2 linked regions of the Canis lupus familiaris genome follow. The protein of the gene in region 2 purifies or fractionates together with the protein of the main gene of each other region. This does not show direct contact. Links are inferred from orthologs where the notes say so. Each region holds a gene or a part of one and is shown on either strand. Other genes may lie near its edges.

Region 1 (4,132 bases), on a different chromosome or scaffold from region 2:
AAATGGAATCCACATACACTGCTGATGGGAATGCAAAAATTATGCAGGCACTTTAGAAAACAATCTGGCAATTCTTCTAGAGATTGATCATAACTAACCCAGCAATCCCACTCCTAGGTGTTCGAACAAGAGAAATGGAAACATGTTCAAAACTTGCATTTGAATGTTCATAGCACTGCTATTTTTTTTTTTTTAAAGACTTATTTATTTGAGAGAGAATACAAGTGTTTGGGGGCAGTCAGGGGAGAACAGGGCAGAGGGAGAGGAAGAGAGAATCTCAAGCAGACCCCAAACTCATGTGGAGCCCAATGTGGCACTCAATCTCACGACTCTGGGATCATGACCTGAGCTGAAATCAAGAGTCAGATGCTCACTTGACTAAGCCACCCAGGTGCTCCAGCACTGCTATTTTTTCTTTTAAGATTATTTTATTTTATTTTATTTATTTATTTTATTTTATTTTTTAAAGATTTATTTATTTTAGAGAGAAAAAGCACTGTGCATGTATGTGGGGAGGGGGAAGGGGCAGAATGAGAGGGAGAAAAAGTCTTTAGCAGATTTCATGCTGAGTGTGGAGGCCGACGGGAAGGCTTGATCTCACGACCTGAGCCAAAACCAAGAGGTGGCTGCCTAACTGTGCCACCCAGGCACCCCAACAGCACTGTTCTTCTTAACAGTCAAATAGCCAAAAAGCCAACAGCCAGAAGTAGTATGAAAAAAATCATTAATATTCCCAAAAAACCTGAATGTCCAACAATGATGAATGGATGTGATATATCCATTTACTGTGATATTATTCAGCAGTAAAAAGGAATGGGATACCGACACATGTTACAACATGGATGAACTTCAAAAACATGATTTAAATCCAAAAAGCCAATTACAGAGACAACAGATTGTAGGATTCCATTTATATAAAATGCCCAGAGTAGACAAATCTATAGACTGGTGGTTGTCTAGAGTTGAGAGGATGAGAAGAATGGAGGACAAATGCTAAAAGATACAGGATTTCTTTTTTACAATGATGAAAATGTTCTAAGGTTGACTGCGGTGATAGTTGCACAATTCTGCAGATACACTAAAAACCACTGAATTGTACACTTTAAAAGTTAATTGTATGGCATGTGAATTACAGCTCAATAAAGCTGTTACTAAAGAAAAGTAGAACTACACTTTAAAGTTCTTAAAAGTAATTCATAAATTATTAGAATCAGTTATCAAATTTCACCATCTAATACACATTCAAAAAGAGGTCTCTATTTAAATAGCCAGTTTTATTCAATTCTGGTTCAATATCCTATTTTTACAATAAATTGTGGTAGTAACCAACCAACAACATAAAAAGAAAGTGCCATAGTTATAGTCTTAGCAGTGGAATTGAGACTATATTTTTAATTTTAAGTATATACATAAAACTTATTTTGAAAAGCTTCCTAGCAATTGTCTATTGGTGGATTCTACCCCTTTAAGTAAAAAACAAACCACAAAGAGAGTTAGAATAAGGAAAAGACAGGGATGCCTGGGTGGCTCAGTGGCTGGGCCTCTGCTTTTGGCTAAGGTTGTGATCCCAGGGTCCTGGGATCAAGTTCTAGATTGGGCTCTCCACGGGATGCCTGATTCTCCCACTGCCTCTCTCTCTGCCTCTCTGTGTCTCTCATGAATAAATAAAATCTTAAAAAAAAAATAATGAAAACACAAATGTTTCCCATATTGTACTAAAAGACACTTTTACATCATAAGATGTTGGAAAGAGTGAATAATGAGATTCAGAGCTTGTACAAAACAGGAATGTGTAAAATAAAGTCAAGCAGACTATGCCCTCCAGTTTTTTAGCACAATGGCAGGTGGTCAATAAATGAATCAGTAAATGAAGGAACAGTAATAAGATAGGAAGTGAGTGAGGGCTTCAGGTTGCTAGATAAAAAAGAAAAAGACTAATTCCTTTCCTCAATAAGTATTTCTTGAGTACTTATTTTAAAAGTAACCTATCTACCACATTCCTTTCAAATGCTATCTTTTCAAGATTCTGCAAAACTTCTAGATGTACACATATCTGCATAGAATGTTCTGGGATAAATCAGAAATTGAACACTATATAAAAAACACTCTAGACTCTGAGACAATTATAGAACTAAAATCCTTTATCTGAAATTCCAAAAATCTAAAAAGTTCTGAAAATCAAGGTTTCGTAAGTTTGAAGCCAAAACATATTTGTAGGAAAACCTGACCTGAATTGATGCTAGCTAATTTATTTATATGCTTTACTTATACACTTACAGCAATGAGACATTTCTTTCTTTTTTCTTTTTTTTTTTTTTTTTTTTAGCGTGGGAGAGATGGGGAGAGGAGGAGGAAAGAGAGAAACTTAAGCAGGCTCTACACCCAATGCAAAGCCTGACTCAGAGCTTGATCTCATAGCCCTGATAATCATGACCTGAGCCGAAACCAAGAGCCCAATGCGGAACCGACTGCCTCACACAGGCCCCCAGTAATCAAACATTTCTCCGAGAAATACTAATATTTTTGGAGGTGCTGCTCCAGATGCAAAAAGGCTATTATATAATATGCACTTAACTATCTTTCTAAAATCTGAAAAACTCTGAATTCCAGTCATATTCTGTTCCAGAGTTCTGAATAAGATGCTCTGTACTTGTATAAAATTCACTTTGAAAGACTAGAAAAAGGAATAAAAACTTATTTGAATCTGTTTGAGAAATTAAGATTCTAAACTCACCCTTTCACTTTTCACAGAACCAGTGACATCATCATCATTTAGGTGGCGCTTGAACTTGGGAGGCATACTTTTTACTCAAGAAGTACTCTTCTGTTTCCCAGCAGAGTAAGTATTCGCCACCTTGAAGAGAAAAATAAATTCCATCTGATTCGAGATTTTGGGGGCACAAGATAAATTACTTAAATAGTGTTCAAGGCCTTGTACAATGGAGCCTCCTTCACTTCTCTGACTTCAAACTACCCGCCTTCCGCCTTTGCTTCATTCCACGTGATCCTGTCCTCCACGCCAGGCCTCAATACATTAAAAAATAGTTAAAACTATTAAAATAGGTGTAACTTTTAAAAGAGAACATGTAGGGGAAACTAGTGAAAAGTTTTTACAAAATTCAAGAGTGGATTGCTTAAGAGAGGGGAGAAATTAGGAGAAAATGAGACATTAAATGCTTTAAAATTTTTAACCTGGAATTAACAGACAGCAGAACACTCCTGTCTTTTCACATTTTTTAGTTAGTCGATTAAACAATTATTCAGTTTCTTCATCTGTAAAATAGTGATTTCTAGGTATCCACGTGAAGTTTGGATGGTCAAATCAGGTAATACATAAAAATATTGTGTAAGTTATAACATCCTATACTAAAGCACAGCACCAGACTCCAAGAAAAGGATAAAGTAAGTAGTGGGTTAAACAGAGACAGGCTTTTTAGTTTTATTTTTTTTGCTACAGAAAGTCTCAGCTTGTTATATGTTAATATGCATTGTGATTTTCCAGGAAAATGCTTGACTATGCAGTTTATTCAAATTTTCTTGAGAAAAAGCTGACATGCAAATTTAGTTTTCAGTATCTTGGAGTAGAAGATAGATGAAAAATGCGAATAGCTAAGGTACTGAATCTTTTACTCTGTGGTAGGTGCTGTGCTCAGGGATTTACATGTATTTTCTTTTAGTTTTTATGACACTCCTTTAAAGTAGGCACTAAGAAACTAAGAGAGAACCAAGCCCTAATAAAGATACGTAACACTACTGATTGAAACAGCAGAAACACAGGTTCAAATTAATCAATGGCTATGCATGATCGGTTTTAATATTTACTCAACTAATTGCCTTTCAGGTTCTGTTCTAGAAAGACTACTTCCCTATTAGAAACCAGGAGCCCTCTCTTCCTTTTCATGAGAAGAAACAACTCTTTAAGATCTTTAAGTATAATTAGACATCAGTTCGCTGGCTAATATTATATACTAGCCCAGAGTTTAGTCTCATAAACCAAACAAAAGTATTTATTTTAAGTTGGTTTCCTATCGAAACAAATTGACAGTCTTCTTTGATAAGAAATGCTTCTAAACAAAAAACTTAACCACTTGTAACAAAAATCAAATCTTGCTACCTAAGTAACAGCTCTAGA
Region 2 (3,926 bases):
GTCGCTGAAATCCTTTTACGAAGTTTCAAACAGCCTCCAACAACCGAGGCTCGATTCGCCAGGTAGGAGGAGCCCGACACGGTCTACACGTTGGCCTGGGCTCGCGCCAAAACACCCAACTTAAGGGTCTATTTGGGCCGAAGGTTAAGAGGCGAGCCAGTGAAAGCAAAGACAGAGTGAAAGGAGGGGAGGGGACGGGCCTCGAGGAACACAGGAGGATGAACACGAAAGAAAATATTTGGGGGAAAAGAAAGAAAAACAAAACAAAACAAAACACGATGAGGAAGTGCCTCCGGAGCGAGGGACAGGAAAGGCAGGATGCAGGGCGCCGGAAGACCCGTGGAAGGGTGTGTCGGGCTGGGCAGCCGTGGATCGGCGGGAGGATCTCGGCTGCAGGGTCATAAGGGGCTTCGCGCAACAGATGCCACGGCTCGAGCCTCAATTTCCCGCCCGCGCCGCAGAACAGAGCGCTTCCAGGTTCTCGCTCGGGGACGAGCATCCCGCCCAGCGTGGTTGGTTTCAACATTCTGGAGCTTCTGGGCTCACTCGGGGGGGGGGGGGGCGGGGCGAATCACCGCCCGAATCATGATTCCATCCCTTGCCTGGACTCCCACCTCTCAGCCTGGTCCTCGGTACCCGCTCCTCGGCCATCGCATTTCCGGGGCGGCCTGGGCTCACCCGGAACGGGTCTTCTCCTCCGCCGACAACCCCGTCACGGGAAAGTCAGGCCCGCGCAAGCAGTAAAGCAGATCTCGGTTGTCCGGGGCTGCAGCGCGGAGCCCGCCGCGCCGCCAGCGCGTCTCCCCAGCCGGCGCTCCGGCCGCTGCTCTCCCGCTCCCGCCCAGTGCGCGGTCCCCGCGACAGCCACTTCCGGGAGGTTCGCCGCATCAGACTTCCCTCGGGAAGCAAGTTCCTGCGACTTAGAGCTCTATTTTCAGGAGATAGAAGGGCCAAAAAAAAAAAAAAAAGCTTCCAGTGACCCCCCCCCCCCAAGAATCCTCAGGTTTCCGAAAGCTTCTTGTTGGGGGAGGGGGGGCAGTAATAGAAGCGCTATTCTTTCGCGAATTTTTAAATCTTGAAGCCCGAGCGGACAAAAAACAACGCACCCAAGGCAAATTCCGGGGCGGGTGGGGGGGACTGTGATTGCGACGAACAACCAGGAAGCGGCCGGGTTGGGAGCTGTCCCCGGTTCTCCCCGCTCTGCTCCCGAGGCCGCCTCCCGGGGTCCTGACACCGCGTTCCTCTGTCCCGCGTGGCCCCTGCCACGACCTGGGCTCCGGCCCGGGGCCGTCACTCCGGAGCCGCCATGTCATCCGACTTCGAAGGCTACGAGCAGGACTTCGCGGTGCTCACGGCAGAGATCACCGGCAAGATTGCGAGGGTCCCCCGACTCCCACCTGGTGAGAGCCCTGACCCGGCGGGCGGGGGTGGCCCCGGGGGCGCCGAGGCTCGGGGGCGGGGCGGGGGAGCGTCTCTAAGGCGCCAGGTGGTGCCGGGGCCCTCGCGGAGCGACGCAGCTGCACTCGGCGCAGGGTTAAGGGACCGTCCGGGCTGGCTCGTGGAGCGCCGGGACGCCCCGTCCCTTGCACTACCTTGGGCACGTTTCTCGGAGTCCTCGGTTTTCGTGTTGTTTTTTTGTCTCGTTTGTGAAAGGGAGATGCGAGTTTTCAAACGGAGCGAGTGGATGCATCAAGATCATGGGTCCAAAAAAAAAAAAAAAATTGAGAAAACAACAACAACAACAACAACAACAACATGGGTCTGCGATACACAGTCCTGTTGTTTTGTTAGCAATGATAGTATCCCAGGTGGCAGAACAGGCCGGTTAAGAGCCACGGTGCCAGGGTTCGGATCCCAGCTCTGTCACTTAAAAGTCGGGGCACTTAGGAAAGTTTCTTAATTAAAAAAAAAAAAAAAAAAAAAAAAAAAAAAAAAAAACAAAGGAAAGTTTGTTAAACCTCTCTCAGCTTTCTCCTTCTTGGTCAGTAGGGGAGAGCTAGCCGTACGTCTCTCTCGTGGAGTTGTGGAGATTAAATGATTTAACATACGAAAAGCCCTGTTTTGGTGCAAGCTGCTATTAGTATCTTTCACACACCCCTCCACCCCACTTCTTATTTCTCATCCTTCTTGGGAGACCGTAACCCAATTTTCTGTAACACCTGGTACAGTTTTTCTCGCTTTAGAAATTCCACGTATCCTACCTATAAGTGTTCTTGATTTTGTTTTTGTGGGTTTTTAAATTTTTTTGATATTTTATTTATTTATTTATTTATTATTTATTTATTTATTTATTTATTTATTAATTAGAGCTATGGGCACAGGGGCAAAGGACAGAGGGAGAAGGAGAAGACTCACCCCCCGAGCAGGGAGCCGCCTGCCAAAGGGCTCCATCCCAGGACCTGGGATCATGACCTGAGTTGAAGGCAGACACTTAACCAGCTGAGCCACCCAGGCTCCCCTTGTTTTTGTGTTTTAGCATGACTTACTTTCCATGCTCAACTGTCAACTTGGCATTTACCTAGAAAGGGCTCAGAAAAAATGTTAAAGTAAATGAACCGATGAATATGATATTTGGTAATTTTTTTTTGTTATGTGAGACACTGGTTTAGGATTTATCTTTCCCTAAATACAGATTTAACTTGAGTGGTTAGCTACAGATAGGATTACTACTTTTAGCTTAGTTTTGTTAAGGAAATTGAACCATCGTCTGGATTTGGGCCTACCTGGCTCTGGGGTGTAGTGCGTAGAAAAGGGGATGCTCACTGATCTGTGAACTGGTGGGCAGCTTCCTGTTTCCCACCTCCTTAGTCAATCCTTGATGTCAGCAGTAATCTCTGCAGGACCTAAGTTGACATTCCTATTTCCCTTTCCCTACTTCCCCCAAACGTGCGTGTTTATAAATAATTTTCTTCCTTTATTTGTTTTTCTTTCCCCTTCCCTCACCTATTTTCTATTAATAGGGACATTTGCTTGAAACCAGGATCTCTGAACTTACACCCCACTCATCTCCTGAAGTCCCAGTTAGTTCTGGAGAGGTGGATGATGTCTTAAAGAGGTTTATGAGCCCAAGTGAGGGAACAGGAGGAGAAAACCAAGGTAGCATATATCACCGAGCTCTGCTGCCTCAGAGATTTTTGTGGAGAAAATAGCTGATGGCCTCATCACTTCATGATACATCACCTCGCCTCTTCTCTTCAGTTCTGCCTTTCTCCACTGCCCAAGACCATCTTGATTTTTATTATCCTTGTTGCTGGAGACTACTTCCTTTGACTTGAGTCCCAGAGTTTCAGGACTTGTGATTTTAGTTGGATTTTTGTTCATTTTTAATTGTAACAGTTTTAAAAGAGAAGCATTTTCTATTTGGGCTAATAGATTTTTGTACTGGGAAGATGTTTTATATAAAGTAACAAAGTCATCCATGGGTGCAAAGTTGTAAAACCTGTTTCTAAGAAAACAGATTTTGTTACAATTGATTTTTTTTTCTTGTCTTTATGTTTTAATGTAACTATTCTTACTATATAGAAGGAAACCTTTAAGTGCCTTAAAAATAAAGGCTTGACTTGGCCTTGCATATGGTATAATGTAAAGCCCAAACATAGGAGCTCCAGTGGAATTGAAAGAAGACTGTTTAGCTGGCAATGGAAAAATGCTTACTGATTTGACTAATTGAATGACAGTAATTCTTTAAAAATGTAGTAGTTTCCCTGTTAATAGTTACTTATGCTTGCTCCCTTTATAATCTGTTTCTAATTGATAAATAGAAAAGGATGAATGAAAAGTATATCCATGTCGTTATGCATTTCAGATATAGGTCTGTGGACTAACAATATGTACCACTATTTAAAAAGTATAATTAAAAGTAATTATAATCTCTTTCTGAATAGCATTAGTGGTTGATCTAGAGGAGATAAACTATAATTTACTTG

Evidence for each region.
Region 1: the proteins of VTI1A (region 2) and VAMP4 purify together in Homo sapiens (affinity purification with mass spectrometry; 4 studies listed by BioGRID and IntAct, counting the BioPlex papers as one, with this or other methods). This does not show direct contact. The link is inferred for Canis lupus familiaris from reciprocal best matches to the Homo sapiens genes VTI1A and VAMP4.

Annotation. Positions count from the first base shown.
Region 1 is NC_049228.1:27,206,140-27,210,271, reverse strand, and holds the start of VAMP4 (vesicle-associated membrane protein 4), read right to left. Parts: upstream 2,801-4,132; coding exon 2,735-2,800; intron 1-2,734. UniProt on the Homo sapiens protein: Involved in the pathway that functions to remove an inhibitor (probably synaptotagmin-4) of calcium-triggered exocytosis during the maturation of secretory granules.
Region 2 is NC_049249.1:23,792,574-23,796,499, forward strand, and holds the start of VTI1A (vesicle transport through interaction with t-SNAREs homolog 1A), read left to right. Parts: upstream 1-1,126; 5' UTR 1,127-1,306; coding exon 1,307-1,400; intron 1,401-3,926. UniProt on the Homo sapiens protein: V-SNARE that mediates vesicle transport pathways through interactions with t-SNAREs on the target membrane. These interactions are proposed to mediate aspects of the specificity of vesicle trafficking and to promote fusion of the lipid bilayers.